3 linked regions of the Canis lupus familiaris genome follow. The protein of the gene in region 1 interacts with the protein of each later gene in a biochemical or structural test. Links are inferred from orthologs where the notes say so. Each region holds a gene or a part of one and is shown on either strand. Other genes may lie near its edges. The genes, in order: SNTB2, DGKZ and PTPRN.

The links.
Region 2: the proteins of SNTB2 (region 1) and DGKZ form a complex in vitro, tested with the Homo sapiens proteins (2 studies listed by BioGRID and IntAct, with this or other methods). The link is inferred for Canis lupus familiaris from reciprocal best matches to the Homo sapiens genes SNTB2 and DGKZ.
Region 3: the proteins of SNTB2 (region 1) and PTPRN form a complex in vitro, tested with the Homo sapiens proteins (2 studies listed by BioGRID and IntAct). The link is inferred for Canis lupus familiaris from reciprocal best matches to the Homo sapiens genes SNTB2 and PTPRN.

What each region holds. Positions count from the first base shown.
Region 1 is NC_049226.1:81,040,962-81,048,288, reverse strand, and holds the start of SNTB2 (beta-2-syntrophin), read left to right. Parts: upstream 1-3,652; 5' UTR 3,653-3,667; coding exon 3,668-4,247; intron 4,248-7,327. UniProt on the Homo sapiens protein: Adapter protein that binds to and probably organizes the subcellular localization of a variety of membrane proteins. May link various receptors to the actin cytoskeleton and the dystrophin glycoprotein complex.
Region 2 is NC_049239.1:43,527,317-43,534,643, forward strand, and holds the start of DGKZ (diacylglycerol kinase zeta), read right to left. Parts: upstream 4,424-7,327; 5' UTR 4,273-4,423; exon of another isoform or gene 2,447-4,272; coding exon of another isoform or gene 2,418-2,446; intron 1-2,417. UniProt on the Homo sapiens protein: Diacylglycerol kinase that converts diacylglycerol/DAG into phosphatidic acid/phosphatidate/PA and regulates the respective levels of these two bioactive lipids.
Region 3 is NC_049258.1:25,725,639-25,732,965, reverse strand, and holds the start of PTPRN (receptor-type tyrosine-protein phosphatase-like N), read left to right. Parts: upstream 1-3,318; 5' UTR 3,319-3,443; coding exon 3,444-3,558; intron 3,559-5,010; coding exon 5,011-5,061; intron 5,062-5,279; coding exon 5,280-5,393; intron 5,394-7,327. UniProt on the Homo sapiens protein: Plays a role in vesicle-mediated secretory processes. Required for normal accumulation of secretory vesicles in hippocampus, pituitary and pancreatic islets.

The sequences.
Region 1 (7,327 bases):
AATAAAAAATAAATAAAATAAAAAATAAAGTAGCCGTGATCCCTTCCCTGTTCTGAGAAACAATAAGAAAATAGCTTGAGGGATCCCTGGGTGGCGCAGCGGTTTGGCGCCTGCCTTTGGCCCAGGGCGCGATCCTGGAGACCCCGGATCGAATCCCACGTCGGGCTCCCGGTGCATGGAGCCTGCTTCTCCCTCTGCCTGTGTCTCTGCCTCTCTCTCTCTCTCTCTCTCTCTCTCTCTCTGACTATCATAAATAAATAAAAAATTTTTAAAAAAAAAGGCAATCAGAGAGATAATCCTTTAAAAAAAAAAAAGAAAATAGCTTGAGCAGAGAATACATACTGAAAGGTGAGAGGAATGAAAGGTTATTAGGAATTATCTCAGCCATTTTCTTTTTTGGAGGTAGATAAAATAACATGCCTGTTTAGAGAATTATCTAGGCTAGTCTCTCTGTCCCTAAGAAACCATGGTAACAGATGTGTACGCTTTTTATTTCAGATTTCATTATCCACAGTACATAGATTTCCACTGACTACTTGAGATTTCCTAGATGGTAATTTTCACTCTGCAAGGAACCAGTAACCTTCAGAGGGATTATGTGAAATGACTACAGCACAGGAGGCACTGAATTTCAATTAATCACATGTTTAATGAGTTCCTTCTCAGCAAGGCAATATTTTTGGAATAGTGGGGATTGAAAAGGAGTCAATGGGTGGTCCTTGCCCTCCTGTATTTTATAACCTACTTAGGCAAAACAGGCAGGCAAAGAATAAAGTTGTTCAAAGGAAAAATCCCAGCATATTGGGTAGACAGGGAAACCGAGGATGAGATCTTGCCATGTGGGAAAGTAGTTGAGAGGAGCAGGAGGTGTTTGGATGGCCTCATCGGGGAACACCAACTAGAGGAACATGGTTAATCTGAACACAGTGATGGGAGAGGACATTGAAAATTAAATTCTGATGGAGGACCAAAACAGCTCAATAAATTGGGAATTTTTCAGGGATATATTTTAAAATAATTTTTTAAGTAAAAACTCCCAAGTAACCCAAATAGCAATCTCCATTACCTTCTCTCCTCCTAGAATTAAATATTTTATCACATAACTTACTATCTTATTTTTTTTTAAACTTACTATCTTATATAAGTGCCCCTACTATTTAGTTGGAAGATCTATGACTTCCTCCAACTCTGTTGACCAAAAGGTCTTGATACTTTTGGGAAGAATTTCCAGCACTTCCCTTTTGCTAACAAAGGTGTTGTCGAGTGCCCAACCTCTGGATGATCGTGGACGTAAAAGTGTTCAAAATAATGCTTATACTCCAAGGAATCAGCTGCCAAGTATTCTTTAATAAGCAGAAATTTCACATACCTCAGGCCTCTGGGGGCTCACGGCTCAGCTGGAGCAAAGCCAGAAATGTCTGTGACTGCAAATGCACTTGGGCACATTGGGACCTGCTGGAACAGGGAACTGGCCCCATTGCAATTGATTTAGGAGAGGATAGGAGGGTTGAGCTTCTGCTGACATTTGCAGCTTGGAAAATCCTGCTCCACTAATTGCAAAGAAGATTCTGCTGTAATGATTTTTTTGGTAAGAACTTTTCTCATTTTCAATTGTTTCTTCATTTGGGCTCTGGGTACTTTCCAGTCTCCATTTTTATTGTTTTAACTCCTAGTATAGGAGGCTCTTTGAATGTTCCTGCCCACACATGAATGTGCATTCACAGAGAAGTGCATGGACATGGCTCACAAGCTTCAACATGTACTTCATGAGCAAGCAGGTATACAGACCCTTTTATGGGAACTGGTGCACATTCCCTCTGCTTGCAGCCCCGCTCCCCACAAGTGAAAACATGGGGATTTCACTCTTACTGCCAAAGGAAAATTAGATGGCATGTTTTTTTTTTTTTTTAAGGTTTTATTTATTCATGAGAGATAGAGAGGCAGAGAGAGAGAGATAGGCCGAGAGAGAAGCAGGCTCCCTGAGGGGAGCCTAATGTGGGACTCGATCCCAGGATTCTGGGATCATGACCCGAGCCAAAGGCAGATGCTCAACCACTGAGCCACCCAGGCACCCCGGATCCTCATTTTTGAGGTCTGGAGTGTATAGTAAAGCCCTAGACCAGGAGGCTGGAAGACCTGAGTTTTTTTCCTTCCTCATTGTGGACTTTAGGATAGACTCTTTGGTAGTCTGGGCCTCAGTTTCCTCAGCTCTCCCAGCCCATGAAGCTGGAAGTGGGTGGATTGCAACACTCATGCCTTTGGATAGAAGCCACCACAGGTTCTGTGGTGTGCATATGATTTCTGGGGATACCCCTCAGCATTTGCCCCAACAGCAGGCCATGACCTCCAGGATGAGAAAGATCTACAAATCCAAGTCCAGGGATCCCTGGGTGGCGCAGCGGTTTGGCGCCTGCCTTTGGCCCAGGGCGCGATCCTGGAGACCCGGGATCGAATCCCACGTCAGGCTCCCAGTGCATGGAGCCTGCTCCTCCCTCTGCCTGTGTCTCTGCCTCTCTCTCTCTCTCTCTGTGACTATCATAAAAAAAAAAAAATCAAATCCAAGTCCAAACTCTTCCATATTTGATTATATGAGGGTTTTCACACTCCTTTCCACCTCCACAGACCCTGTGCTCTGCTCACATTGAATTCTTGCATCCTCCTAGGTAACCATCGTTCTGTAAATATCTTTGAGGCCTCCCTATTGTGGCTGCAGGGCTGAAGAAGAAATGGTCCCCTCTCTCACTCCCGGGAAGTAAACAGGTGATTACAAAGCAGAGTAACAAATGCTGTATTCATGTCTCTGGACCTTTGCTTATGCAATTCTCTCTGCTCCACCTACTCAGCTTCCAGTGTCACCTCTGTGAAGCTGACCCCAGGCCCAACCAGATGTTTCTTTTACTGGCTCTCAGGGTGTTTTCTACATGTCACTTAACCACATCGTATCACCCGGGGTTGGTTGGTTCTCCTTTCTCCTCCCCCACTAGACCGCCAGCTCTTAACTGTGGTATGTTTTATGCAGCTCATCTCCAGACATCAAAAGGAGCTCGGGGCTGAGCGCTCAGTAAATACATCATGAACCAACCGAGGCAAGAGTAAACGTGCAACCAAGTCTTGCAGGCTTGCAAAGTGCTCTTTTTTTTTTTTCCTCTTTTTAAAAATTTTATGTATTTACTCCTAAGACACAGAGAGAGACAAACACACAGGCCGAGGGAGAAGCAGGCTCCCCGCGGGGAACCCGAAGCGAGACCCGATTCCAGGACCAGGTATGAGGACAGATGGAGAGATGCTCAACCAGTGAGCCGCCCGGGCGGCCCAGCAAAGCGCTTCTGAAGCTGATTCTACTCTCCCTGTGGCGGCTGCTCCCGTGAGCTGCGCGGCTGAGGTCAGGCAGGGCTTTCGGGGGTGGCCTCCGGAGGCGAACGCGGGGAGAAGAGCGGCCGGAGCCCCGCGCGTCGGTCCAGCGAGCTTCAGGCACCGCGTCAGCGCCCGAGTCCGCCTCCCGGAAGCCGCCCCGCCCGCCGGCCCCGCCCGCCGGCCCCGCCCCGCCCGCCGGCCCCGCCCCGGCCGGTGGGCGTGGCGCCTCATGAATAATGAAACGCCGCGGGGGGAGCGGCCGGCCCCGCCCCCTCGGGCGGGAAGGGGGAAGCGCCGAGGCTGCCCGACTGGAATGAGGGTATCTGCGGCGGCCGCGGCGGCGGGAGCGGGGCCGGCCATGGCGGTGTGGACGCGGGCCACCAAAGCGGGGCTGGTGGAGCTGCTCCTGCGGGAGCGCTGGGTCCGGGTGGTGGCCGAGCTCAGCGGGGAGAGCCTCAGCCTCACGGGCGACGCTGCGGCGGCCGAGCCCGAGGCGGCCCTGGGGCCGGCGGCGGCCGCCTTCAACGGCCTCCCGAACGGCGGCGGCGCCGGCGACTCGCTGCCCGGGAGCCCCAGCCGCGGCCTGGGGCCCCCGAGCCCGCCCGCGCCTCCGCGGGGCCCGGCGGGCGAGGCGGGCGCGTCGCCGCCCGTGCGCCGGGTGCGGGTAGTGAAGCAGGAGGCGGGCGGCCTGGGCATCAGCATCAAGGGCGGCCGCGAGAACCGGATGCCGATCCTCATCTCCAAGATCTTCCCGGGGCTGGCGGCCGACCAGAGCCGGGCGCTGCGGCTGGGCGACGCCATCCTGTCGGTGAACGGCACCGACCTGCGCCAGGCCACCCACGACCAGGCCGTGCAGGCGCTGAAGCGCGCGGGCAAGGAGGTGCTGCTGGAGGGTGAGCGGGGCCGGCGGGCGGCGCGGGGCGGGCGGCGGGCGGCGCGGGGCGGGGCGGGGCGGGCGGCGCGCACTCGGTCCCTGCCCTCCGGCCCCTTCGCGGGGAGCCCGTTCCCTCCCCCTCCGCGTCCTCCGCTTCCCCGCGCCGTTCCCCGGCTCCCCCCGGACCCCGCTTCCTGGGGCTTTGCGTGTGGAAAAGCTGATGCTCCTTGCAAGGAAAAGTTGGCTTGCAGTCCCCAGGCGGGACTCGGTTGAGATTTAGTACAAAGCCCCGGCGCTTGAAGCCCCGCCTCTGCAGGATAAGCTGACACTAAGGACCGGAGGGGGCCCGGAGGGGGCTCGGAGGGGGCTCGCCGGGGCCGCGGAGGGCTCCGTGTGCCTCCCGAGAGGTGCCGGGGTGGCGCCTTCTGCTCACAGCTGGCTCTCCCCCGCGACGGGGTCTGTTTAAAAAAAAAAAACAAAAAAAAAACAACCCACCCCCACCGACGCCAGGGGTGAGCTTGGGCAAATCAAACTGCTGGTTAATTTATAGGGATTTAACCCATCATTGGCCCCGCTCGACAGTAACCAAAAGAGATCATAGCACTTGGTCGAAGCAGAGAGCTGAAACAGCAAGTTTCGGTGGCTAATGAGCCTTGTTTAACAGTCGAGGCTCACGTGTTTGAACATTTACTGCCAGCGAGAGTTTTTGCCCCTTTTGCAAGAGACTAGTGCCAGCTTCCTACCCTCCAGAGACTTGCTGCTGCAAGGCTTTAAATGAAGCCTGAAATGGTACATCTCAAGATATGTTTGAACAGCCACTATTATTTTTTACTTTAAGTACGTACGTGATCCGTAACCTGGATCTGTTGTGATGAATTTATGGAAGGCAAGAGTAAATCTCATTTCCGTGAAAGTGCTCGCGCTTGTTGGAGGTGACCGAGTGTTTTAAGTGTGATCGGAAAAGCCAGTTGCTTACTTCAGAGATTTGTGAGCAGTTGCCTTTCTCTCACTGGTGATTCAGTCATTCGAGGAGCAGGCATTTATTACTGGATGTATAGAAGAGGATGTAAAGCATAATGGTTCTCTTTTTGGTCCCTAGTTGGGGACGTGATGGAAAAATGCAAAACGACTTTAAGTTAAGTGATTATGTAATGCAAACTATATATAAATGCCAAGGGAATGCAAAGTTAGGAAGTAGTGGCAATCGGGATTAGTCAGGGAGGCCTTTTTCAAGGAGCTGAATCCTGAGCCAGGTCTCTAAGGAAGTAATGGACATAGACAGAGATGAGTCAGGAGGGTATTCCTGGCAGAGGAAGAGCAGAAGGGAATGGGTGGGGAAGAAGGGTAGGCAGAGACCAGTCATGAAACTGAGAGGTCAGAAGTCCAGCTTGGCAGAGTGATTTTTCACTTTTTTTCCAAATCGGGTTGTAAATATTTGGAAAAATGTTAGTTTGTTTGCATGTGCTCTGAGTGTGAAATTCCAGTGTCCCATCTCTATGATAATCCTATTTATAAGTCTTATTTATATCTCATGGGTGGGGCCAGACACTGCTCCGAAATTAGTGTTAATAAATGGAGCAAAATTATAGACTGTGGCATAGGCAGTGAGTATATAAAAAAAATTGTAACCAGGGACACCTGGGTGGCTCAGCTGTTGAGTGTCTGCCTTTGGCTCAGGGCATGATCCTGGGGTCCTGGGATCGAGTCCCACATCGGGCTCCTTGCCTGGAGCCTGCTTCTCCCTCTGTCAGTGTCTCTGCCTCTCTCTCCGTGTCTCTCATAAATAAGTAAATAAATCTTAAAAAAAAAATTGTAACCTTAAATGTGCACCTTGAAGTTGGTCTAGCTAAGCATTTGGTTATAAATTCTTAGAACCAGAATATTGAAGTAGTACTATTTATGTAGTACTAGGCGGTAATGGGCAGACATTTCAGCTCTTTGCATGCTATATTTTTTAACAACCCAGTTTCTTGTTTAGCTATATTTTGAACCTGGTATTCATACCAATTAAATGAAGATCATCTGGTAAATGTTTCCCAGTATTCATTAGTCTAAAATAGGCCACTTGGGCTTTTAGGAGGAGGCTTTGCAAATAGCAGCATAATAACATATTTATTGAGTGCCTTTTTACCTAACACACAGGTTCTATTTTATTTTCCTATTTTTGTAAATGACAAGCAGTTTTTGTCCTTAAATGTGTGGGGAAATATGAAATTACACTTTTTAAAAAAATATATTTTATTTATTTATTCATGGGAGAGAGGGAGAGAGGCAGGCAGATACACAGGCAGAGGAAGAAGCAGGCTCCATGCAGGGGGCCCGACATGGGACTCGATTCCGGGTCTCCAGGATCAGGTCCTGGGCTAAAGGTGGCGCTAAACTGCTGAGCCACCTGGGCTGCCCGAAATGACACTTTCAAGCCAAAGAGATAAAAATAAAATAAAATAACTTAGAATATGTGATAACAGTGACTTAGTTGAACTAGTCAAACGTTATTTTAAAATCAAGAGCTGGTGTTCCATCCAGGTAGACCACTGCTAAAAGATAGATTTTATGCTTAGCCCTTAAAGTTTTGGAACCTCCATTAGATGTCTCAGAACTTGAAAAGCTGCCCTAGTAGCACAGTGATGCTCTTTTGTGATGTGGGCAGGGAATTTCAGGCATGCCCTGGCCACCCCCAAGCAAAAGAAAGCAGTAGTCTCTGGTTGCTTGTGGTTAGGGAACTGAGCTAAAGGGTTTCTTTTTATCTCATGAATTTGTTGGGATTATTCGTTCATACAGCAAATGTTTACTCAACTCTACCATGTGCTAGAGGCACTTGAAGATACCTGGTTCCTGCCTTCAGGAAGTTTGGAGTTGAGATAAGAGAGAGATGAGAAATAACTATAACAAAGGGCTAAAAGTGATTTTATAATAGAACTCTGGAGAGGACACGGCACAAAGGAAGGAGAGATCTATAGAGATCTTGGTTCCCTGCCCCGCGTTGGTGGGGTCAGAGGTTGAGGATGCCTGGGAAAAGGTTGAAGGAGAAGTTGAAGCTTCCCCTAAGACACAGCTGCCACCAGTAAATACACACAAATGAGAGACAGTAGGAAGTTA
Region 2 (7,327 bases), on another chromosome or scaffold:
TTATACCCTCTGCTGCCCCAAGAGTAACGAGTACAAGGGGCTTCCAGCCACCCATGTGGCTCCCCTGTCCAGGCATCATAAACCACAAAGCCCTGGCCTTTGACTCCCTTGCCTGAAGCTGATGGAAAAGAAAAAAAGGAAACTGGAAGCCCACCGTCCTGGGTTCCAGTGTACAGTTGGCTTCTACAGACTGAGGGGCCAAGGAGAAGCCTTTTTCCCCGCCCTCTCATTGGGCCTTTTTTTAGCTACCAACTGAGAGCAGGTTAGGTTTAGGTGTCCCCTCCTGGGACATGGCACAAAGTAAGCTATGGTAATAAAAGGAGGCTCTCTGAAAGGAAATTCAGTCCAGATAAGACCCCTAGACTCAGCCCCAAACCGTGGGGTCAGGCAGAGATTGGGCACCAGACAAGGGGAAGATCTGACTTAGGGATCAAAGGGCTCTGGTGACCAACGCCCTCAGACTGGGGGAGTTATACAGGGAGAGAGCCACCCCAGTCCTCAACCATGGGGACTCTACATGGGAAGCTATGAGAGGCCTGAGCCAAGAGGAAAGCCTTCAGGTGTGTTCTGGGTGTGCATCTCTATCTCTGAGGGGCTAAAAGCAGGCCCTTTCCTGATGTTAGACTGCTCTGTCTCACCTTTCTGGAGACGCCGAGGACGGATCTCCCATGTGTGCAAGTACCAGGTGACGGGTGAGGTCTGAAAACCCTTCCAGCCCTGCTGCCAAGGGAGCCTGTGAACTGCACTGTGTCCTGGGGACCAATGCTAGAAGCTCCAACTCTATACCCAGAGTTCCCTCCTGTGGGGGACTATCCTTACTCAAACCACCCTCCCTTGACCCATTCTTAGCCTCCTTCGCCAGCTCATCTACTCCTGGCTGCCCCTTCTTACAGGCTGCTGGGATTACTGTACCCTCACTTCTTCCAAACAGTGGGGGAAGGGCAGGAAGCCAGGTATACTTGGGGCAGGGGTAGGGAGGATGCCTCCAGAATGCCCAGGGCCTGTATCCCACCACCAAGTGATCTCTTGGGCCCTGGCAGCCACAGAGAGGTCCAAGTCACAGCCATGGGACATCTGCCTGGGGCCAGCAAGAGACATACGGCCACCTGCTAAGGGCCTAGAGGAAGTCAGGCATGGTGGGTGGGAGCCTTGGACAAACGGTGGTGGATGCAGGGCTCGAGGACCCAGGCCCACAGCTACGTGCCGACTGCCTGTTTCTCCCATCACCCACTCACCCACTCTTTAATCTGCTACTACCCTGTGAGTCCAGGCAAGCAATGCCAGGCTGAAGCCCTGGATGGGTACAGAGGTATTTAGGGAGAGGCACATAGGGCCAAGGTGTCTGAGCTCCTGTGACCAGGGAACAACGGAGGCAGTGTGCCTGGGGAACCAGTGTTCGAGACTGCCTGGCTCTTCTTGGTCTCTGCCTGTTACAGTCCCTCCTCCGACAGGAAGAAGGGCAGGAGTTAAGCTCTGAGGGCAAGTGAACGGGCGTGGGCAGAGAGCTCTTGGCTAGCTACAAAAATCACTATCGCCAGAGCTAACGTTTACGGAGTGCCCTCCATGGGCCAGGCACTCTGCTAAGCCCTTTATAAACACACGTTATCATTTTATAAACCAGAGCAACATGAAAAAATAGGCCCTGCATCATGCCATGTTCCTGATGGGAAGCTGGGACACAAGGAGGTAAGCTGCCTGAAGTCCACAGCTAGCCAATGGGGAGCCGATGACGGAACCCAAGTCTGCGTGAAGGCAAAGTTTGTACTCTAGAAGCTCAGCGGAGAGTAGGATCTTTCTTTTTGGGCAATGGGGCTGAGACTCAGGTGGGCCGGGGCAGGAAGGGGAGCCTTGATAAGAGCAACAATGGCCGCTGAACTGCTTGAATACCTACAATGGACAAGGCCCTAAGCAAGTACTTTCATTTATCATCTCACTTGATCCCCACCACAAGTCTGTGAGGCACGCAGGATCAGTGGCTCCACTACAGAGACGAGGCTTGAATAGGTGCAGTACATGCCCCACGTCACAAGGCCGCTCGGTGGCAGGACTGGGACCTGAACCCAGGCCTGCCTGACTCTGGTCTGCTCTGTACCCAGGAAAAGAAGCCTGAAGGCCCAGCTGCCCACTGCTGCCTGGGCACTGGCTTGCCAGCACTCCCCCAGGGTGTCAGCTTTCCCCGCCCGTCTGGTCAGGCTGCCCTGTGACAGCTGCCCAGCCTGGAGGAGATTAGTCACCCGGACACACACCGCCTGATGCTAGTGTCACCCAGAAAACAAAAGGCCACAGTAAGTAGGGGGGAGGTGCTGCAGGCACTCTGTGAGCGGCGATGAGGTCTGGGGCAGTGGCCAGGGCCCAGACCCACACTGATGAGTGGGGCCAGGAGGCAGGGGCCGCCTCACAACAGGGTGGCAGCTTACGGGTGCTTCCATAGGGCTCCAGCCCACATGCTGCCGGGGAGCCCCAAGTCCAACCGTCCAGGAGTCTCATCAGCTGCCTGGCGGTGCAGTCACTTTGAGTGGGGAGCAAAGCAGGCTAGCCAGGCCACTGTCGTGCGACCATGTACAAAGCCGTCCCCACATGGGCCTGTCATCTTGTTTGTCCAAGGAGACTACGAGACTGGCTGAGCTGATATTTTATGACAAGTTGTCCTGCACAGCACCCATGCCTCTATGTTCCCAATGCCTCCTCCCCCCAGGCCCCATGCTTCCTGCTCCTCTGGTCTCCATAGAAACCTCTGTCCTCTGGTCAGCAATAGCCTGATTCCAGACTTCCTATCTCTGCTGAGGCTTCTCCTGGGTCCTCTGAGAAGCCCCACTTGGCCTCAGGCGTGTCCCAGCCTTTCCCCGCAGCACAGCTCTAAGCAGCAGTGTCTTCTCGATTCGTGCTCTGCCATCTATCTTCAGCATACCACACACTACATGTAAAGGTCACTGGAGGAGACCCCGCAGGGTTCTGACACCAATAGCACAGCAAAATGGCTGCCTCTGAGCCTTCTGCGGGGAACCCGAGGGAAGCTTGTCACACCCAAAGGGAACAGGATGGGAAAGGATTCAAGGGTTCCAGCTGGCTGTTGAGAGCCTGGGGAAGACAAAGGATGCTATAGGAGGGACACACATCCGGCCATGTGCCTTTGATGAACAGCAGCGAGTGTGGCTACGGGCAGCTGCCAGTGGGTGAGCGGGTGTCAACGACCCAGCTTCGTTGGCTACCGGCTCGAGAGAACCAGACTCCCAGCCGCCCAGCCTAGACTATCTCCCTCCCTATGTTAGTTTCAAGTGGAAAAGCCCTAGGGCTTTGGAATCCTCCCATTGCTTTCCCGGTTGGATCAACTAACCTTTCTGATCCTCAACTTTCTCATCGGCAAAATGGGGTGATACTACCCAGTTGAGAAGGTTGGCATAAGGGAGGTTCTGATGAGATGATGGTATAAAGTACTTGATGATACCTGGCAGAGGGTAGGGGCATGGCAGAGCCTACACCCACAGCAGACACAAGGGTGTGTGGATCGTGCCTGGGGTTTTTGTCTCTGCCTGTGGTGGGAGTGGGAACCTAGAAAGGGAAGCAGGAGTCCCTGGGGTAGCCACCACCCACCACATGAAGAACAGAGTCTGGCAGCGAGAGCCACCTGGGTATCTGCTCATACAGTAAGAAATGCCCTCTGCCCCTCATAGCAGGCCTGGCCCCCAGAGGTGCCTGCACAGGACACCCCATGGGATCTGGCCAGGGTTCTCATCCCCCCTTGTGAGCAGGGCCCCATGTGCCCATCTCCTCAGGGAGGCTGGGAATGGTGCATAGTGGCCCCAGAGTGAGGGTCTGGAGAGGCCTCCCCAGGGGCTACTGGTCAGAAGCCACCTCTGGGTGCTCTGCTCCCACAGCCCGAAGGTCAGAGGGAAGGAGGTGGAGACAGTGTGGAGGCAGGCCTGTGGGGGGGGGAGGGTGCTGGTGAGACAGGGTCCAGGCTCTCCCGAGGTCTTTACTTGCTAAGAGAAGCCTGCCCCAAACAAAACAAAACAAACGCGCAGCAGGGAGCAGGTGAGCCAGGGTTGCATAGGAAAGGCGGCCGCAGGCCAGTAATGTTGACCTCAACAGGGTCTGGCTGGGGCAGGAGCCTAGCCTACCCCTTCCCTTCCCTTTTCCATCAGCTTCAGAGCCTCATCCAGGAATGGTGGTGCCTGGGCCCACCATGATCCGTTCCTCCCCAGACCCACCCAGACAGATACAGGAAGGAGGAAGCAGAAGGCAAGGAAGGGTTGGGGGGTAGTCCCCTTTGACCTGATCTGGAAGGCAGGGTGGCGGGCAGGAGGTGGGCGAACGGGTGGGGCCTGGGGTCCCTGTGGGCAGGTAGCCCCGGTTCTGCCTCCAGCTCCAGGCTGCCGGCCTCTGGCGGAGCAAGTCCTAGTTTGGAGAGTGAGCAGAGCCGCTGTGGCTGCTCCCCTGCCCCCTCCCCCTCGTCACCCTCCTCCCCCCAGCCTGAGACAGCCGTTATGAAAATAACCCGATTGGTAACCAACTGCACTTCCTCTCCCAGCGGCAGCTCCAGGCCCTGCAGCAAGCAGGCGGCCGGTGGGCGGGCGGGCACACGCGCACCAGTCCTGCCTCCTGGCTTCTCTTCCCAAAGTCCCCAGAGCCAGCCTGAGCAATAGCCCAGTAGCCTCCCCTCCACCTGGCACCCGGTAGAGCCACTCGGCCCCTGCCTTGGCTCCCAGAGAAGGTCTGGGGAGGTAGAAGTGGGGGGTGGATCGCACCCTTTCTGGCCATCGAATGTCCTCTCCTACCCACTGGACAGGTGTTCTGGGGTTGGGGGAAAGCGTCTGAGACAGCTAAGCACTGGCTCCCATCAAAGTAACCACAAAAACAAATATCTGTTGAGTCTTTCACAACTTACAAAGCACTTTTTCACAAGCATTATCACACGGAAGGCTTATAATTCTCCTGCACGGGTGGCATTACCGTCCCAGCTAAACCACAAGCAGCTGAGGCTCATGGAGGCTTGTGACTGCCGGAGCCCAGAAGTGGCTGAGCTGGGACTATCCAGCCTGGGTCTCCCCACCCTGCCAAGAGAGGTCTGTCAGAGCTGCCCTGGCTTGTGTCCCGGAGAGGTCAGCTCATGTCACACCCATCCTGTCCAGAATGCCACCCCCTTCCTCCAGCTTACACTCCTGGCTCTCCAGGGTCAAGTGTGGTAGCTCTCAAACTCCCAGGGCCCCTTTACACTCTTAAAAACTACTGAAGATCCCAAAAGGTTTTGTTTACGGGGGTCAGAACTAGTAATATTTACCATATTACAAATTAAAACTGAGAGATTTAAAAAATATTAACTTATCTAAAAACAATAAACTCATTTATGTTAACATACAGACATACTTTTATTTTTTTAAAAAGTTGTATTTCCAAAAAAATAAAAAATAAAAAAAAATAAAAATAAAATTAAAAAGCTGTATTTCCTAAAAAAAAAAAAAATTAGGTAGAAGAGTAGCATTGTTTTAATTTTTGCAAATCTCTTTAATTTCTGGTTTAATAGAAGACAGCTGGATTCTCCTATCTGCCTCTGCAGTCAATCTGTTGTGATATGTTGTTTTGGTTGAGTATGTGAAGAAAATTCTGCCTCACATTGACATGTAGTTAGAAGAAGAGTATTTTAATAGCCTTTTTAGGCAATTATGGATGTTCTTCTTTGCTACTTCATCAAAATGTGACAAGTGGTAGTTTCTTAAAGGTTAGTGGCTATATGGAATCTGAAACCATATTAATGAACTTTTCACTCATCTATCTTGCATTGTGAATTTTGTAATATCAAGCATTGGAAAATATATTTTACTGAGTTATGCAGATCTTCCAAACTTGACACATTTCCTTATACAAAATCAAGAAGTCATACTTGCTAACGTCGCTATTGGTCTCACCAGAAAAGTCTTCCAGTCCTGGGAAGCTGTCAGGCTCTAGACAGTGCATATGAGGTTTTCAAAATTCTAATTCTTGCCTTTCAAAGGCTCAAATTTTATCATCAGCAACAAATACTGATACTGGTTTTGAAGTGACAAGCTCACTTCATTCATTTTTGAGAAAATGTCTGCCAAATACCCAACTCTGAAGAGTTTTGTCTGCCAGGTGTTCTTTCGAGTTAAAAAGGTGTTCCTTAAAAAAAGTAACTAGTACAGCTTGCAACCCAGCAGCAAGACTGCTTTTCTTTCTTTCTTTTTTTTTTTTTTAAAGAGTTAATTTATTTATTCATGAGAGACACAGAGAGAGAAAGAGAGGCAGAGACACAGGCAGAGAGAGAAGCAGGCTCCACGCAGGGAGCCCAACGTGGGACTCGATCCTGGGTCTCCAAGATCACGCCCCAGGCTGGAGGCGGCGCTAAACCGCTGAGCCACCAGGGCTGCCCAAGACTGCTTTTCAAGACAACCATCACAGTCTGCAAAACTGCCTTGACTTAGATTTCACATTTCTTCATACAGAATATTTAAAAAGATGTATACTCGAGGGTCTGGGCTTTATAAAATTAATACATTTTACTGCATTTTGTTGTGGTGAGTGTGAAGAATACCACGGCTTCTAGTTCGTGTTGGAGCCGCTGCCTTGGTTTGTGTCAGAGGGCCAGCTGCTCCACACCACCATTGCCTCTGCACGGTCACTACAAACACTACTAACACGGTGAAAAGGGCGTGAACCAGGGCGGCTCTGAAAGTATTATTATGCCAATAGTTCTGACCACACTAATTCTCTGAAAGGGTCTAGGGCACCTCCAGGACCACTTTGGGAACCACTAGCTCAGAATGAATTCCAAAACCTCCAGCCTGGCAAATGTGGCTTCTGCAGTGTGGCACTAACCCAGCCTCCTCAGCCCAGACACAAACCCCTGAGCTCTAACCAAGCCATCCTATTCTCTGTGCCCCAATGTGGCCTTGCCCAAGCCCACTACTGTGTCCCTGCACACAGCATCCCTTCTGCCCGGAATACTGGCTGCTTCCCAGCTCGTATCAAAACCCCACCTGCTCACAGCTGCCCCAACCAAGAATTCACCATTCTCACTAGTAACCTCACATCACTCATTTGGTCACATCACTCATTTTGGTTTCTCTGCCGCTGGACCCCTGGAAGTCCTAATTCTTTCAAATGCACATATCTTGTTCCTCCCATCCACCCACCCACCAGGCCACAAGCTCCCGGGGACCAGGGGCCAGGTCCAGTATATCTGGGCATGCCCAGCACAGTGCCTGGCAGTGAGTCCAGTGTTTACCACCGATCAGCTCAGAAGGAAGGAAAAGGGAATTCCGTGGGGGAGGGGCGAGGGCCATAAGGGAAGAGATGGGCTTCCTCCACCTCA
Region 3 (7,327 bases), on another chromosome or scaffold:
ATAGATAGAGAGGCAGAGACACAGGCAGGGGGAGAAACAGGCTCCATGCAGGGAGCCTGACGCGGGACTCGATCCGGGGTCCCCAGGATCACACTCTGGGCCAAAGGCAGTGCTAAACTGCCGAGCCGCCCGGGCTGCCCCTCAAACAACTTTAGAATGCAGTATTTTAATGCTATACTCTGAGGGATTATATTCCAAGGACAAAATAAACTACCACACATCTTAAATGTCTTTATTGTTTTATTAGTAGAGTAATATTTGTATCATTATTTGTAAATAATTGTATGTATATTATAGGATTACACATATATGTGATTATATTAGATTATAAGAAACCAAAGTTTAAAAAAAAAAAAGAAACCAAAGTTTTCAGTATAAGAATAGAGATATGAGTACAAAGTCAAGAGTTCAGTATAAATCACAGTTATTTTATTTTTTTTTAAAGATCACATTTATTTACTCATGAGAGACAGAGAGAGGCAGAGGCACAGGCAGAAGCAGACTCCATACAGGGAGCCGAAGGTGGGACTCGATCCCAGGTCTCCAGCATCACACCCTGGGCTGAAGGCAGGCCCTAAACCGCTGAGCCACCCAGGGATCCCAACACTAGGGCCAATTTAAAGGAGCTTTCACTGACTTATTCTGAGGGAATTTGAATATAAAAAAAAATAATTACTGCAATTGATTGATGCACATTGAATATATGAAAATCCATACTTCCATAGTAATGCTCAAACAAGAAAAGTCGTTAAAATATTTTTTAAAAATTTATTTGTGGGATGCCTGGGTGGCTCAGCAGTTGAGCATCTGCCTTCGGCTCAGGGAGTGATCCCATACTCCTGGGATCGAGTCCCACATCAGGCTTCCTGCGGGGAGCCTGCTTCTCCCTCTATGTCTCTGCCTCTCTCTGTGTCACTCATGAATAAATAAAATCTTAAAAAAAATTTTTGTCACTGTTGGAGGTAACTACTATACCTAAATTCATTATGCTGCAAATGAAAACCAAAATAATTAGAATGTATGCTACCTTTCCAAGGTGGAATTGTATTTCAGAGTAAGTAACCCAGTTGATGAAGAAAGTTCATCTTTATACAATAAAATTAGCTAACAAACGTTAAAAGAATGATAGAATTAAAAAAAAATAAAAGAATGATAGAATTAGAAAAATCACTATTTTGTGACCCTCTAATGAAGTAATTTAGTCAAGAACCATCAAGGAACAGCAAATCCATTAGGTGAAAAGTTGATGGGAACTAAATATTTTCACAATGCCAAAATATCATCCCATGGATTACATATTAGTTATAAGAGGGAAACATAAGTTTACATACAGTGATCGATCTTTACCTTTAACAAGTGATCAACTTTAGCATCACTAATAGTAGGACAGGCAGACATTATGCAGTTCCTGAAATGACACAATTGGAGACATAAACATCACCTATAAAGCATTTTGTTTAAAAAAATTTTAACCTGATCCAATCAAGACTTTAGATATAACATCTAGCATACAGGGGATCCCTAGGTGGCTCAGTGGTTTAGCACCTGCCTTTGGCCCAGGGAGTGATCGAGTCCCGCATCAGGCTCCATGCAGGGAGCCTGCTTCTCCCTCTGCCTGTGTCTCTGCCTCTCTCTGTGTCTCTCATGAATAAATAAATAAAATCTTAAAAAAATAATTTCCAGCATACAGTAAATGCAGGGGATACACAGGATAGATACTGGAGAAATACAGGGAAACCTATCATGAGGAAATAATCAGAAAATTTTAGAAGGTGGGGAATTGTAAAGAAAAACTAACCTCATCTATTCAACAAGACAATGTCAAAAATGGGGTGGGGGGCCTATGTTAATTTAAAGAGAATTAAGAAACATAACCACATGCAATGGTGGCCTTTTATTCCTATTTTTTTTACTCCTATTTTAAACAAAACAGATGGAAAGGGCATTTTTGGAAACAATTTGAGAATTTGAATATGAACTAAGCATTAAATGATATTAGAGAGTTACTGTAAATTTTGTTAGAAGTCACAATGGCATTTGGATTATGTGGGAAAATATCCTTATTTCTTGGAGATGCACACTGACACGTTTATAAGGCAAACATGACGTCTATAACTGAGTTTTAAAAAGAAGCGAATTTGGCAAAACAAAAATAACTGTTAAGTCTAGTTGATGAATACATGAGTATTTAGTATGCACCACTATCTTTTCTTGTATTTTGGAAAATTTTTAATGACGAACAAGAAAATAAAGTGATCAAATTTGAACTTTAGAAAGCTCACTTCTTAGCTTTCTGGGTGAAAGGAGTTAAAACAAAAGATTAGTTAGACAATTACAGTCTAACTAATTAGACTGTAATTACAATATTCATGATGAAAGAGCACAGTGGTTTAGATAAAGTAGTGGAGGAAAAGAGAAATAGACAGATGGGAGATATAATTTGCTGGTAGAAACCGTAAGATTGTTGATAGGCTTGAGGCAGGAGAGGTTAAAAGAGGAGTCAAGACTAATAACAAAAGCCAATATGTATCATGTGTTTAGCATATGCCAGGGCAGTCTTTGTTCTATGTGATCCACATGAGTTTAACTCGTGTAATCCCCCACAACCACCTTGTGAGGTAGGAATTATTAGCATATCTATTTTATTTTCTTTTTAGATTTTATTTATTTATTCATGAGAGACACAGAGAGAGAGGCAGAGACATAGATAGAGAGAGAAGCAGGCTCCCCTGACGGAGGCTGATGTGGGACTCCATCCCAGGACCCTGGGATTGCGACCTGGGCCAAGGCAGACGCTCAATCACTGAGCCACCCAGGTGTCCCAGCACATCTATTTTACAGATTAGGGATTTGGGTGCAGAGAAGTTAAGCAACTTCCCCAAAGTTATACTCCTAGTAGGTAGCATTGCTAGATTTGGAATCCAGGCACACACGCAGGACCATCCCTGCTGTTAAGGATGACACCAGTACCATTCATTGAGATGCGTAACAGTACCTCCTCTACTCACTTTTATGTTCATCCTAGGTCTATACTAACCGACTCCTATTTCCTGGCCTCTGCCCAGCTGCAGCCCTTTCCTCCAACCCTGGGACTGGGTGACAGAGGTGGCAGTCCTTGGCGAGAAATGTGTGTCCAAAGGGGGTGGGGCCAAGGGGGAATGCTACTGCAGCGCCTACTCTTCGGTGGAGGGAGAAGAGCTGCGGGCAGGCACCTCCGTAAGACAGAGCTCTTACGCCACGTGTGACGCAAATAAGCGTAAGAGCCGGGGGTGGAGATGTCGTCACCACCCGCCCAGGGTTGGCCGAGTTGCCGCGAGAGGGGCGTATAGACCCCGCCTCGCCGGTGGGTGGGGAGCGGCAGGCCCCGCCTCGGCCCCTGTGGCTGGCTCCGGCCGGCGTCGCTGCGGTTGTGGCAGGGGAGCGAGCGCGCCGAGCCCGGAAGGATGCGGCGCCCGCGGCGGCCTGGGGGTCCCGGGGGCTCCGGGGGGCTCCGGCTGCTCCTCTGCCTCCTGCTGCTGAGCAGCCGCCCGGGAGGCTGCAGCGCCATTAGTGCCCACGGTCAGGAGGAAACGTGGGGGGTGGGGTGGGGGGTGGAGGATGGGGCCGGGAGCGTAACTCGGTGGGGGGTGGGGAGAGGTGTCACGAAGGTAGGAACCTCGGGTGGAATAGGTGTCTGGAGTCGGGCAGGGGTAAGCGCTGGGAGACGGGGAAGACGAGAGGGCGTCTGGGAGGAAAGGGGCGTAGGCCTGGAGGTGGGGCTGGAATACGGGGGCGGGACCGAGGAGAAGCAGGCTCGGGGAAGGATTGCGGGTTTGGGAGGAGGAATGGGGGTGCTTATGGACGGAAGGATTTAGAGACGGGCTGCAAGACCACGGGCGAAGCAAGTGGCGCTGAGGCGCCAAAGAAGTGGTGATTGGCGCTGAGGGATGGGGGTGGGAGGTAGGGGTAGGAAGAGGGAGCCCCGGCGTTCGGGCAGGAGTTGGGGCCACTGAGCATGGGGTCCCAGCTCCCAGGAGAGGATCAGACCGAGGGAGGGGCCAGGGTTTCCCTCTAAGTCCCGAGAGGCAGATTGCTGCGACCTCATCTCCAATAAGAGGACGACGGCTAGAGGAGGCGGCAAAGGAGGGTGAAGAGAGAAGGGTCCTTTCCGGGCCCCCTCCCCACAGCCAGGCCGGTGCTGACTCACATCTGAGCGGACAGAGACAGTCAGCGCTGACTCACGGGCCGGGGGAGGGGGGTGGGGCGCGTGGGGGAAGGGGCGCAGCCTCCCCGTCTGACGCCCTCCTTCCCCACCTGGCTTGGAGACCAGTGCGGGGTACTTCCTGTGGCGCTGTGGATTGGTAGGGGGGTAAGTGAAGTCTAGAACGGCGGAGGGGTCAGGTCTCGTGGAGGCTCCCGACCCTAGTACCCTTCCCTCCCCGGTAACTGCTTCCGAGCTAGCTAGCCCTCGGCGGCGCCAGACTCGGAGCTTCAGCACCGCGGACAGCGCCAGCGGCTCGGGCCGCTGACCTAGGGACGGTGTGGGGAGCGCTGCTTTCCAGACACCCCACCCCTACCCCTTTCCTACACGAAGGGAAGGTGTGCCTGGGTTTCCATCTCGTTGGAGTCCCAGCCCATCATAGTGAGAATGCTTTTGGAGATTTGGGGAGGAAAGTCCCGTTTTCCTCAGAATTTGGCCAAAAATCCCCCCCATAGTAATTCTATGACAATAGAAGTATACGATCCTTCAGTACCCCCTGCGCTTGCAAGGCTTCTTCTCCCCATCACTCAGTTAAGCCAACTGAGGCTTTTAGGGAAAAGATCCAGACTCTCAGATCCTTAAAATCCAAAGCCAGATCCTGTGCTTCCTTCTCTTAAGAATTCTAGGCCTCCCTACTCTCCTCCCAGCTTAAAGCCTTTCTGAGAATGAAAGAATGGGCCTCATCTGTTTCCCCCTTTCCCAGCCTGTCCATTCTCTTACCCTTCTATGTGTGTGGGTGTCTTAGCCTCTGCTTGCTTTTCCCTCTACAGGCTGTCTGTTTGATCGCAGACTCTGCTCTCACCTTGAAGTCTGTATTCAGGGTGAGTGAGGACCAGGCATAGGATTTACAAGACAGGGGACACAACATGAAAGATGTGTGTGTGGGAGGCCTGGAAGGGGGGAAGGGGTGCTAGGCTTGTGAAGAAGGAATGGCTTGAAGGAACAGAGTTCTCTGAAGCCAATAGAGATGGAGAGAGTAATGCCCTTTTGCAACCTGGACTTTGAAAGCTCCTTGCTGACACCACTTTTGTGCTCTTAGATGGCTTATTTGGACAGTGCCAGGTGGGAGTGGGGCAGGCCCGGCCCCTTTTGCAAGTCACCTCCCCAGTTCTTCAGCGCTTACAAAGTGTGCTCCGACAACTCATGTCCCAAGGTGAGGTCTAGCTGCACTGAAGGAGAGACACTGGAATTTGGTTAGATAAGGGTGGGGAAGTGAGGGGCCACCTGACTTGAGAATTTCTCTTCATGAAACATTGTTATCACACCTACTTCTAGAGCCTCACCTTCCCAGACCTTGCTGGAGAAGGGGACAAGACAGGAGTCGGGGTGGAACCATAGAGATGGGCTATTCACACTTGGACTCTTGGAAGGAGTCTAGAGGCTTCCACAGAAGGAGCCACTGAAAGAAGCCAGTGTCCATCTCCTTAGGACCAGTCTATTCCCTGGAACTGTCTGAGTGCTCCACAATTATGAATTCTGGAGTCCTCAGCCAGAACAGCTCACTCATCAAAATCACTCACTCAACAACTATTTGTTGAGTATTTACTATGTGGCAAGCTTAATTCTCGGTGCTTGGGATGTATCAGGGAATAAAACAGACAATGATCTCTGTCTACTGGGACTTACATTTTGGGAGATAAGGGGAATACAATATACAAATTAGAAAATACATAGTATGTTATAAGGTGATAAATGCCATGGAAAAAAACAAATATCATAGCATGATAAAGGGGTCAGAAATGGTGGGGTAAGAAGCTTCAGTATCAAATTGAGTGGTCAAGATAGATCTTATTGAGACTATGAAATTTGAACAAAGACATCAAGGAAGTGGAGATGTATTCCAGGAGGTTATTGGGGGCAGTGTTTCAAGCTGATCAAAGAGCTAGAACAAAAGGCTTTACTAAAGCAGGAGCATGAGTTTGAAGAATACCATGGAGAACGCCTCTATGGTCTGGCTGTAAAGGAGGGATAGAGAGGGAAAGTGGAAGATGCAGATAGGTATTGGGAAATAGGGATGCAGATCATTGTAGGGACCTACAAGAGAATGTATGGATGGATGTTGTCTTTACTCTGAGTCAAAGAGGAACCCATGACAATGTTTTAAGCATAGGGATACATAATCTCACCTCTACTTTAATAAGATCAAGCTTGTTGCTGTTAAGAATAGATGGAAGGGAGTCAAGGGTAGAAGCTGGAGGTCATTAAAAGCTACCACAATAACTCATGTAAGAGATGAATGTGGCATGGATCAGGTGATTGCAGGGAGGTAGAAAGGAATAAGAGAATTCTATATATATTTTACAGGTAGTAAGCATGTTATCATGAAATATTGGAAAATGCTGTGAAAGAAAGGGAAGTGTCAAGAATGACAACAGGTTTTATTGCCTGAATAATTGATTAATGGAGATGTCATTAATTATACAGAAGGATCAATTTGGAGGAGGAGGTGTTCAGTTTTGAATATATTAAATTTAAGATGTTTATTCAAGTAAAGTGGAAGTTGAGAGTATGAGTTCGGTTTTGAAAAGAGATGGAGGATTCTGGAGTGGAGATATGAATTTGGAGTTCTTTGGCATATTAATGGCAAGTGAACTCATAAGGTAGGTGAGATAACCAAAGGATTTGGTGTATATGAAGAAGAAGCCTAGAGAATTATAATAATAAAAGGACCAGGACAAGGAGAAGAACCAACAAGGTAGACTGAGAAGAGGGAGACAATGAGGTAGGAGGAAAAACAAGAATGTTCAGTGTCCTAGAAGCCACGTGAAATGTACCACAGAGGAAGGAGTGATCAATAGTGTCAAATAATGATGGTAGGTGAAGTAAGATGAGATCAGAGAATTGGCCACTGGCTTTAGTTAGCTATGCAGAAGTTACTGGTGATTTTGATGAAAATAGTTTTGATAGAACAGGTGATTTTGATTGAAATAGTTTTGGTAGAATGAGTGGGAATAAAATCCTGAATAGAGGAGGGAAGGAGACGAAAAGAATTGGATACAGCTGGTAGATAGAGATAACACTTTCAAGGAGTCTTGCTGGAAAGAAAAGGAAAGAAATGGAGTGATCACTGGAGAGGAATGTGGGGTC